Macaca fascicularis: one gene and its partners. The protein of the gene in region 1 purifies or fractionates together with the protein of each later gene. This does not show direct contact. Links are inferred from orthologs where the notes say so. Each region holds a gene or a part of one and is shown on either strand. Other genes may lie near its edges. The genes, in order: ENG, ACVRL1 and TGFBR2.

Region 1 (3,380 bases):
GTGTCCTTTGTCTGCCTCTTCCCTCGGGTCTCCTGTTCTTTGACATTACACTGGTGACCATACTACATGGATGTGTGGGTGGCTAGATTCCTGGGTGGGATGGTGGGATGGTGGGAAGATGGTGGATGCCTGGCTGGGATGGCAGGTGGGTGGGAGGGTGGATGGATGGATGGACGGACGGGTGAATAAGTGGAAGGATAGATGATGGATAGATGGACAGTTGCAGCTGCATAGTCTGGCAGCTGCATAGTCTGGCAGCTGCATAGTCTGCCAGTGCCCAAGACATGGCAATCCCACCAGAAAGCTCTCGGGTGGCAGAAAGTGCTGCTGGCAGCCAGACTGCCAGGTGACATGCCTGACTAAGGCTCTGCCCCTCACCAGCTGGCCCCACATCCCTGTGGGCTGCCATGTCCTTTCCTGCAAACCACAGACCTAGAAGCTCCCACTTGAAGCTGGGGCCGGCCCAGGCTCCACTCACCTGGTCTTGGGACCCGGTCTTGGGACGCAGGGCTATAGTGCAGCTGAGGGTGCCGGTTTTGGGTATGGGTACTGTGTAGAAGTGGAGGAGGAAGCTGAAGCGCGGGTTACCCTCGGGGCTTGGGGACAGCAGGCTCACACAGTTGCCCTTGGCCGCCCGGCCCTGGATGAGTTCCATGGTGCCTCCCTCAGGCCCCAAGTCCAGGTGGCAGCTGTCTAGCTGGAGCAGGAACTCGGGGATGGATGGGGACACTCTGACCTGCATGGGTAGGTAGGGCCACGAGGCATGGGCAGCTGCTCTTCACCCCACCCCACCTGCTGCCTTGAAATATCGGCTAGAATGAAGAGTTCCCACCCCTGAGTCCTCACGGTGGAAGGAAAGGCATGGACCTGTGTGGGTCAGAGGAGGAGGACAGGGCCACATCCTTGTCAGCATCCCTGAGCAATGCCTTCTCTGTCTCCCTCTCCCACGCACCCAGGCCGTCTCCCTCCTGACTCTGGGATTCTCATCTCCTCTGGAGTCATGGTGGGAAGAAAGGCAGAGAGGAAGTTGCAGGAGCTGGGAGGCCCGAGGGGTGACAGGCATGCCAGGTACCTGCACAAAGCTCTGCTGCCCCGGCTCGATGGTGTTGGAGGCCTGGAGGAAGTGTGGGCTGAGGTAGAGGCCCAGCTGGAAAGAGAGGCTGTCCATGTTGAGGCAGTGCACCTTTTTCTGGGGGAGGACGGGAGGGAGACTTGGTCAGTCCGGCGGCACCAGCCAGGAGGGCGAGGGGTGTGGGGAGGAACAGACGTCATGGCCCTGTGGAGTTGCCTGACTCATCTTTTTTTTTTTTTTTTTTTGAGACAGAGTCTCACTCTGTGGTCCAGGCTGGAGTGCAGTGGCCGGATCTCAGCTCACTGCAAGCTCCGCCTCCCAGGTTCATGCCATTCTCCTGCCTCAGCCTCCCAAGTAGCTGGGACTACAGGCGCCCACCACCTCGCCTGGCTAGTTTTTTGTATTTTTTAGTAGAGACAGGGTTTCACCGTGTTAGCCTGGCTGGTTTCGATCTCCTGACCTCGTGATCCACCCATTTCGGCCTCCCAAAGTGCTGGGATTACAGGCTTGAGCCACCACGCCCGGCCCTTTTTTTTTTTTTTTTTAACTAATATTTATCAAGGAGGCAGCAGTTGCCAGGCTGTGTGAAGAGCTTCCACACGGCACCTCACTGGCTGCCCAGAGGCACCCTTTGGCGCAGAGTCCTTTCTTAGGCCACCTTTGGGCCCAGAAAACTAAAGTGACTTGCCCAAGGCCACACAGCCAGTATGTGCTAAGACCTCTGACTTGAGAGACTGAGAGCGTCACCCTCAGCAGTCCTGCTCCGCTCATATAGAACGGGAGACCGATGCCAGACACATGGCTTGCCAGGAGTTTCCTGAAGCCTACTCCCTCCCAAGCCAGGAAGAGGCCCCGGCCCAGCAGCAGCCCCTGGGCCAGGTGGGTTAGCACGTGACTGTCCATCTTACCCGCTGTGGTGATGAGCTCGACAGGATATTGACCACCACCTGCGAGGACAAAGCCAGGGAGCTGGTCAGAGCCAGAAAGGACCCCAGAGGGTATCCCACCCAATACACCCATTTTGCAGATGGGGAGACTGAGCCAACCAGTGGCCAAGCTTGTCTTATGTTCTGAGCCTCTGCACCCTGCTCTCCCAAACACACCTCCGCCCTGGGGGATCAGGGAGGCACTTGAGGGGGCACCAACCAGGCTGGTCCTGATACCTTTCTGGCCCCAGCTCTTACCTCATTGCTGATCATATTCGCCGTCACTTCCATGCCACAGCTGGAGTAAGCGCTGTGCAGGACAAACTGGTCACCCCTGTCCTCGGCCTGACAGCTGGGGTCCCAGAGGGTCAGGCCCATGATGGTGCACTTCAAATGCTGGGTTGGGAGAGAGGGGCACCGTCAGGAGGCACTGGGGTCTCTGTGGCCTGCCACACCCCAGCACCAAGGACTGACCACAACCCAGGGCTCCCAAGTCACAGCCATTCCCCTGCCCTGCTCCCTCTTCATTTTTGTTAGATGTCATCATCCTACACCACTTAAAATTTCTTTTTTTTTTTTTTTTTGAGACGGAGTCTCACTCTTGTTGCCCAGGCTGGAGTGCAGTGGCTTGATCTTGGCTCACTGCAACCTCCACCTCCTGGGTTCAAGCGATTCTCTTGCCTTGGCCTCCTGAGTTGCTGGGATTACAGGCGCGTGCCACCATGCCCAGCTAATTTTTTGTATTTTTAGTAGATAGGATTTCACCATGTTGGCCAGGCTGGTCTCAAACTCCTGACCTCAGGTGATCCACCTGCCTCAACTTCCCAGTGCAGGGATTACAGGCGTGAGCCACCGTACCCGGCCATTTTTTGTATTTTTAGTAGAGACGAGGTTTCACCATGCTGGCTAGGCTGGTCTTGAACTCCGGACCTCAGGCAATCCACCCACCTTGGCCTCCCAAAGTGCTGGGATTACAGATGTGAGCCACCATGCCTGGCCCACTTAAGACTTCTTGAACTTGCACACTTTTGCACTAAGCCTTGTCCTAAGCAATAATAGCTGTTGGATCACAAATTTTCTTCTTCTTCTTCTTCTTCTTTTTTTTTTTTTTAAGACGGAGTCTTGCCCTGTCGCCCAGGCTGGAGTGCAGTGGCGCGATCTCGGCTCACTGCAAGCTCTGCCTCCCGGGGTCACGCCATTCTCCTGTCTCAGCCTCCCGAGTAGCTGGGACTACAGGCGCCCGCCACCACGCCCGGCTAATTTTTTGTATTTTTAGTAGAGACGGGGTTTCACCGTGTTAGCCAGGATGGTCTCAATCTCCTGACCTCATGAGCCGCCCGCCTCGGCCTCCGAAAGTGCTGGGATTACAGGCGTGAGCCACC
Region 2 (4,273 bases), on another chromosome or scaffold:
CTTCAACAAACTTCTGAAAAAGTTCAACCCTAGTCAGCCATGGAAGGTCAAACATTCAGTGTCTAAGTGTGTTTCACTTCCCCTGCCACATCACTGGCCCTCCACCCACCCTTTCCTAGATGGCAAGGGGAGAGAAGGGGGCCAGGGAATGACTCTGAGAGGGCAGCTTATACTCTGGTGAGCTTGCAGAGAGGTTCCTCTACACCTGGCATGACCCGGCGCCATCCAAGCTTTGCGTGGTTGTTACAGCCTGAGGGCTCAGACATGGGCTGCCACCACTGGATAGGGACAGTGTGGGGAGAGCACTTGACTAGGAGTCTGGAAGCCTGGGTTGTACTCCTGCTGGTGCCAGTGAGTCCTGTCTGACCCGGGACAAGTCTTCTTCCCTGTATAAGCCTTAATCCTTTCTTCTGTAAAACAAGGAGCTGGATTTTGTGATCCACCTAGAATTCTGTCATGTGGGTGTCCCAGGCACAAGGAACTAAGGGTAGCAAGGAACTAAGGGCATATTTAAATAGCCTCTCCAGACCCTATGGCTGCTGCAGCCCACCCTGAAAATATGCCCTTAGATCCCTGCTGTGCGTGACTCCTGCCTGTTCTATCCAGACCCCAATCTAAACAATCTTGATTCCTGTTCCTGGCTTGGCAGGACCCTGAATGGCAGGAAGTGAAGACAGGAGCCTGTTTATGTTTGAGGCAGCCAGGGCTGGGGGGGCACTGGGAAAGGGTAGGCAGGGGTGAAGGCTGTGAGGGTGTGGGAAAGAGACACAGAACAGAAGGGGAGCTGCTGGAGAGATGCTCCTTCTACCCCAACTGGGTGCTCCCTGCGCCTCTCCCAACCTGCCTCCAGTCTGAGCTCAGCAGCAGGGGTGCAGAGCTAGGGTTTCCCCAAGCTCTCGGTCACTTAAACATGGCTCTCCACCCTTCACCTCTAACAGGATGGTTTCCATGGGGAAGTGAACCAGGACTTCCCTTGCAGGCCCCGCCCCAAAGCTAGGCGGCAGGGAGTAGGGAGGCGGCCTCCCTGCCTCCCCTCCAAAAAAAACTCTCTGTGATTTCCTCTGGGCGGGAGGGAGCCACAGCTGGCGGCTGTCACATTTTGCAGCTCTTACTCCACCTCTCTTGCTCCTCTCTGCAGGGACCATGACCTTGGGCTCCCCGAGGAGAGGCCTTCTGATGCTGCTGATGGCCTTGGTGACCCAGGGTGAGTACTGGGGGAGCAGTTAGGAAACAGGAACCTGGATAGAGAAAGGGCTATCTGGGCCCAGATCAGCTCTGCCTGGGGCTGAACTTGAGAAACTGGGGAGAATTTAGGAGCTTGACTGGAGAATAGAGGAGAGTGAGGCTCCATTAAACTCAGCCCCCAGTTACCCCAGCCCTCCTTTGCTCTCCTCTGGGTCCAGACCTGCAGGCTGGAGCTCTGTCAGGCTAGGGTGGAAGCCTATATGTGGGGCGGAGGGAGAGCAGGTGTTGGCAGGCCAAGCCTGGGAGCGCTCTCAGGACTGGGGCTGGGGGCGCAGCCCAGCCTAGAACTGGGAGGGGAGAACCTAGGAGCCAGGAGGGGACAGAAGCCTGCTTCTCAGTGTCAGCTGCCCTGAGGGGAGGGCTCTGAGGGAAGGATGACTGAGGATGGAAGTAAGGGACCAAAGCTTCAAGGTGTTTGTCTGGGGGGTCAGACGAGAGGGACAATGGGACAGAAATGGGTGTCAGGCTCAGCCTGGGGGAGCTGGGCCCAGAGTGGCTGAGCTTCCGGTGTGTCTCCCAGGTGACCCCGTGAAGCCCTCTCGGGGCCCGCTGGTGACCTGCACATGTGAGAGCCCACATTGCAGGGGGCCTACCTGCCAGGGGGCCTGGTGCACAGTAGTGCTGGTGCGGGAGGAGGGGAGGCACCCCCAGGAACATCGGGGCTGCGGGAACTTGCACAGGGAGCTCTGCAGGGGGCGCCCCACCGAGTTCGTCAACCACTACTGCTGTGACAGCCACCTCTGCAACCGCAACGTGTCCCTGGTGCTGGAGGGTACGTCCAGCTGCCCCAGCACTCCCTCCCCATCTTCTCGGCCCCTGCCCTCCCTTCCCTCCTTTCCTCTCATGCTCTGGCCAATAAAGGGGCTGGGGGCGGGGGGACGGGCAAGACTCTGGGATTTAACTGGCAGAATGGTCTGCCCAAGGTGGGGGAAGTTGACCTAGTGCAAGCTGAGCCTCAATGTCCCCTCCCCCAGCCACCCAAACTCCTTCGGAGCAGCCGGGAACAGACAGCCAGCTGGCCCTGATCCTGGGCCCCGTGCTGGCCTTGCTGGCCCTGGTGGCCCTGGGTGTCGTGGGCCTGTGGCATGTCCGACGGAGGCAGGAGAAGCAGCGGGGCCTGCACAGCGAGCTGGGAGAGTCCAGTCTCATCCTGAAAGCATCTGAGCAGGGCGACAGCATGTTGGGGGTACGGGCCTGGGGACCTGGGACACAGGGTGGAGTGGGGCAGATAGCAACTGCGGAATCAGAGGGGTCATCCAGAGAGTAGAGCCGGTGGGGAGCTGGGCGAGTGAGGAGCTTGCAGTGACCCAGCAGGTCCCAGGTTGAGGATGGAGAATGGGGCTGCGGCTGGTTAGGGCAGCTTTTGAGTGGCCTCTCCATACCCCCAGGACCTCCTGGACAGTGACTGCACCACAGGGAGTGGCTCGGGGCTCCCCTTCCTGGTGCAGAGGACAGTGGCACGGCAGGTTGCCTTGGTGGAGTGTGTGGGTGAGCAGTGGGTGAGCCCGGTGGATGAGGACCAAGGGCTCTCATGAGCCTTGAGGGGTGAGGGAGTTCTTGGCTTCCGGAATCACAGGCAGTGCCAGGCCTGGGTCAGAACTGGAATTCTGCTGGGCAGGGAGTGGGCTGGAGACGGGCCAGGGCTAGGTTCTTTCTGCAGGACCGGGGTGGAACGAGAGGCAGCTGGGGGTGGCCTGCCGCTGGGTTTGGGTCTGGATTAACTTAAACCTAAGGGTCAGGGGTTCTGTGGGTGGGGTGGGCGAGGGAGGCAGCACAGCATCAAGATGAGGGGCTCCTCCAGGGCTCTGTGTGCCCAGTGTGTAACCCTCACCTTCCCCTCTGGCCATCAGGAAAAGGCCGCTATGGCGAAGTGTGGCGGGGCTTGTGGCACGGTGAGAGTGTGGCCGTCAAGATCTTCTCCTCGAGGGACGAACAGTCCTGGTTCCGGGAGACTGAGATCTACAACACAGTGTTGCTCAGACACGACAACATCCTAGGCAAGGGGAGGGGCCGGCTGTGCCAGGCCTGGGGCTTTGCCCTCCTGCACTCAGGGCTCGAATTCACAGACCTCCAGACATTAACAGAACCCTGAAGGACTCCCAGCCCACCTGCAGCACCAACCTCTTTTTTTTTTTTTTTTTGAGACAGGGCCTCGCTCTGTCACCCAGGCTGGGATGCAGTTGTGCAATCTCACTGGAACCTCAATCTCTTGAGCTCAAGCGATCCTCCCACTTCAGCCTCTTGAGTAGCTGGGACCACAGGCATGTGCCACCATGCCCAGCTAACTTTTTTATTTTTTGTAGAGACGAGGTCTCCCTATGTTGCCCAGACTGGTCTCAAATTCCTGGGCTCAAGCAATCCTCCTGCCTTGGCCTCCCAAAGTGTTGGGGTTACAGGTGCAAGCCACTAAGCCAGGCCCAGACCCAACCTCTGACTCCAGCTCTGTCTCTGACCTAAGCCACATCAACCCCCACCCCAGACCTTGCTTAGCAGTGACCCAGCCCATTCCCTCTCCCCCGACCCCACCCTGACCCTGACCACTCCAGCCTCCCTTAGCCCCAGCCCCTTGGCTGAGTCACCCGACCCTTCTGTGCACAGGCTTCATCGCCTCAGACATGACCTCCCGCAACTCGAGCACGCAGCTGTGGCTCATCACGCATTACCACGAGCACGGCTCCCTCTACGACTTTCTGCAGAGACAGACGCTGGAGCCGCATTTGGCTCTGAGGCTAGCTGTGTCCGCAGCCTGTGGCCTGGCACACCTGCACGTGGAGATCTTCGGTACACAGGGCAAACCGGCCATTGCCCACCGTGACTTCAAGAGCCGCAACGTGCTGGTCAAGAGCAACCTGCAGTGTTGCATTGCTGACCTGGGTGAGCTGGGCAGGGCAGGGGCAGACCCTTCACAGGTGGGCACAGCCCGTGCTCTCTCCTCTCCTTTGCCTATGGGCGGTGACCATGATTGGCGCTTGAAAACAGAGGTGCATGTTGTCTCAGTTCTCCTCTGCAAGACCGCATGAGTTGTCTG
Region 3 (3,645 bases), on another chromosome or scaffold:
CTTAACTGCCTTCTCCACTCACTCCTGTTTTAACAGCCAGGCACAGCTAACTTTTCAAACCCTTTTTGGATACAGCTGAGCATAGGAAAGGTAAACACAAAGAAGTAAATACGGACTTTTTTTGTCCCACAACATTTACTCTTAGCCATTGAAGAGGTTATCAATTTCCACTGAAAGAAGAACCAACATGATAAAATTAATTTTGGAGGCTGAGCATGGTGGCTCATGCCTGTAATCGCAGTACTTTGGGAGGCCGAGGCAGGTGGATCACACAGTCAGGAGTTGGAGACCAGCCTGGCCAACACAGTGAAACCCCATCTCTACTAAAAATACAAAAAAATTAGCCGGGTGATAGTGGTGTGCGCCTGTAATCCCAGCTACTTGGGAAGCTGAGGCAGGAGAATCTCATGAACCCACAAGGCGGATGTTGCTGTGAGCCAAGATCACGCTATTATACTCCAGTCAGGGCAACAGTGGGAGACCCCCTCTCAATAATAATAATAATAATAATAACTTTGGTTATAAAATATTTCTATCCTTGGAAGAAGCTTAAGCATTTTACATGGAATGGGCACACAACTGACATTAGTTAAATGAATGAATGAATGAATGAATGAAAAAAACACTAACACTGATCAAAAAAAAAAAACCCCACTGAAATCTACAATCATAGTAGAGCCTTTCGGTTTCCACACTGGCTATTTTTACAGTAGCCTCCTGTCTTAGTTTAGGTTTCCTGGAAACAGACCTTGAGGCTGTGAGTTCTGAGCAGGAGGTTTTTGGAGATGCATCTGTAAGGGACTAAAGGCAGCAGTATTGCACAGAAGGAAAAAGCTAAGCCATAATGCAGGTTGCAGCAAAGGCCTCAGTGAATGCCTTGGAAGCTCTGAACGTGAGACGGTCCTTCAAAGATGTCCCACATTACGGCAAAATAACCAGGAATGTGTTTCTCTGCATCAACTAGCCATGGGATGCTGGATACCCATGAAAAGTGTCCAACGTGAATGAAGCAGCTCCCATCACTGGAGGGAAGACTCAGCAGTGAACCTTCAACAGCCAACACTCCCAGGGAGTGAGTGCCTTGGTCATGAAGGAGGATCAAGGAGGGCACTATAGCATCCCCTACACTTCCCCTTCTCATTAGCAACAGCCCTGGCTTCACAGGAGAACTTTCTTTGGCCAAGACAGGTCAAAATAATGTTCACTGTATTTATCCTTTGTAGCTGGGACACAGAAAAAACAGGGAGGCCTCCTCTCTTCGACATGCTCACATTTTTTTGAGGCTAGCAAAGCCTCTATTGTAGAGAGACTTGATTCACATTCAATGATTTGGGCTTGTATTACTGGTCAGAAAAACAAAAATCTTAATTAAAAGAGCCTTTTTGGGTGGCAGAAGTAAGCGCTCACACCACCGTAGATATTTGAGAAACCACGGAAGGAAGCTTTGAGGCCATCTAGTCTGGTGTCTCAATCTTTCCTGCAATCTATTTGACACATGGTCATCTAGCCCCTCCTGAACTTCACTTGGTGCTTACAGAAAAGGAAGCCTGTTCTGCTGTTGGGAAACCATGATTGTGAAAATGTCTGAACTTATGCTGAGCGCAAGTCTGCCCTCTTGCCAATGTTACGGATCCTCCCTCTACCCTTCAGAGTTATGCAGAATATGTTTATTAGATTTTCTACCTGGGAGCCTTTCAATTTCATCAGCAGAACCCATGATCTCCCTTCACTGCACTAACCACGTCTAATTGCCCAGGCCATTCCTCAGACAGCATGATATCTAGGCCTCTAACCACACTGGTCCCTCTCCTCTGAACACACTCTTTGTCCAAATCCTTTCTCTGACAGCGTTACCTAGAAGTGGACATGGACAGGTATCACATCATATTGGCAAGTACGTCATGACAGGTCTTTGCTGTTAACATTCCTTCAGTTTTTCTTAAGAAACCAGTTCATCCCCTGGTATGTACAGAAATTGGTAAAGTTTCCAGATCTATCATCAGGCTAGCTTTACAAGGTCTGGGGGTCTCAAATGACTTATTCCCAAAAAAGGGGGAGAGATATTTGGGTTTACATTCTTGTTTGTCAACTAGTCAGGAGCCACATAAGTTACTTTTTAAAAAATGGCCAATAAATTAAAAACATCAGAATAAGTCTGCAAAATGTCATATCTCATTAATGAATTTATGTAGTTTTGCAAAATTGCAACTCTTCTAAAGATCAAGGTTGTTTATTTCTTGTTCATGCTCACAATCTATAATCATGAATTAATCAGATGATTCATGAGTATCCACTGTGTATGTATAATTACTATTTGAGATGTGTATATGAGTTGGAGGTAATGAGAGAGAGAGAGAGAGAGAGTAGAAAATGTGATCCAATAAAAATATATAGTTCTGGTCGGGCAAGGTGGCTCATGCCTGTAATCCCAGCACTTTGGGAGGCAGAGGCGAGCGGATCACCTGAGGTTGGGAGTTCGAGACCAGCCTGGCCAACATGGTGAAACCTCGTCTCTACCAAAAATACAAAAATTAGCCAGGCGTGGTAGCGGGCACCTGTAATCCCAGCTACTTGAGAGGCTGAGGCAGAAGAATCACTTGAACCTGGGAGGTGGAGGTTGTGGTGAGCCAAGAATGTGCCACTGCACTCCAGCCTGGGTGATAGAGCAAGACTCCATCTCAAAAAAAAAAAAAAAAAAAAAGAAGAAATATGTAGTTCTGAGCCGAGAAATAAGTCATACCTAGCCCAATGGTTATATGAATGATATAACCAGGATTTCTGACTAAAAAAATAGGTTGTTTTTCTGGTTCTCCAAGTAGATTCCCCATTTTTGGCAGGTGGTTGTCTTTTCCAACAGCCAACCTTTCATCACGTCTTCTTCCAGACCTGAGATTGCCTCACGAGAACAAAGCTCCTGGTCTCACTGTGGGGTAGTGAGGAGGTGTCGGTTAAATGCCTACTAAGTGGCAAATCCCTCTTCTTGATACAAGAAAGAGTTTCCAGATTTACTATATTAAAGATCGTTTTATATACCATGACATACCCATATAAACGTACACGTACATGCAGAGAACACCCTAGAAACTACATTTAATAATCGAAAGAGAGATGGTCTAAAGGAAAGGGAAATGGAACAGGTGTTTACACTTAGGGGACAGAGATACACTGACTGTGTGTACTACGAGAATACATTATGTAAAAAGGGGAAAAGAAAGAATAACTTCTTCAAAGGCTCTCTTACCATACAGCCACACAGACTTCCTGTGGCTTTTCACAGATGGAGGTGATGCTGCAGTTGCTCAGGCAGGATTTCTGGTTGTCACAGGTGGAAAATCTCACATCACAAAATTTACACAGTTGTGGAAACTTGACTGCACCATTGTTGTCAGTGACCATCATGTCATTGTTAACTGAGGAGAGAGAAAGATATATTAAATCATTATCCAACTGCCAGGCAGCCTGCCAATGAATTCCTGAAGATGTTACGCAATTTCAAATGAATTTGATGTCATGGAATGAATCTGAAGAAAGGCAAAATAATTCCTTCACATCAGATTAGAACTCCCTCATGTATGCAATTTGTAATAAAATCCATTGTACGGTGGTGAGGGGTGGGGAGGGGTTGGGGTGGTTGAGTAGCCACTT

Evidence for each region.
Region 2: the proteins of ENG (region 1) and ACVRL1 purify together in Homo sapiens (affinity purification with western blotting; 3 studies listed by BioGRID and IntAct, with this or other methods). This does not show direct contact. The link is inferred for Macaca fascicularis from reciprocal best matches to the Homo sapiens genes ENG and ACVRL1.
Region 3: the proteins of ENG (region 1) and TGFBR2 purify together in Homo sapiens (affinity purification with western blotting; 3 studies listed by BioGRID). This does not show direct contact. The link is inferred for Macaca fascicularis from reciprocal best matches to the Homo sapiens genes ENG and TGFBR2.

Annotation. Positions count from the first base shown.
Region 1 is NC_088389.1:16,176,893-16,180,272, reverse strand, and holds part of ENG (endoglin), read right to left. Parts: intron 2,395-3,380; coding exon 2,257-2,394; intron 2,020-2,256; coding exon 1,981-2,019; intron 1,190-1,980; coding exon 1,073-1,189; intron 737-1,072; coding exon 479-736; intron 1-478. UniProt on the Homo sapiens protein: Vascular endothelium glycoprotein that plays an important role in the regulation of angiogenesis. Required for normal structure and integrity of adult vasculature. Regulates the migration of vascular endothelial cells.
Region 2 is NC_088385.1:58,748,180-58,752,452, forward strand, and holds the start of ACVRL1 (activin receptor type-1-like), read left to right. Parts: upstream 1-1,434; 5' UTR 1,435-1,629; coding exon 1,630-2,017; intron 2,018-2,219; coding exon 2,220-2,431; intron 2,432-2,633; coding exon 2,634-2,733; intron 2,734-3,095; coding exon 3,096-3,242; intron 3,243-3,843; coding exon 3,844-4,119; intron 4,120-4,273. UniProt on the Homo sapiens protein: Type I receptor for TGF-beta family ligands BMP9/GDF2 and BMP10 and important regulator of normal blood vessel development. On ligand binding, forms a receptor complex consisting of two type II and two type I transmembrane serine/threonine kinases.
Region 3 is NC_088376.1:17,786,394-17,790,038, forward strand, and holds part of TGFBR2 (TGF-beta receptor type-2), read right to left. Parts: intron 3,411-3,645; coding exon 3,242-3,410; intron 1-3,241. UniProt on the Homo sapiens protein: Transmembrane serine/threonine kinase forming with the TGF-beta type I serine/threonine kinase receptor, TGFBR1, the non-promiscuous receptor for the TGF-beta cytokines TGFB1, TGFB2 and TGFB3.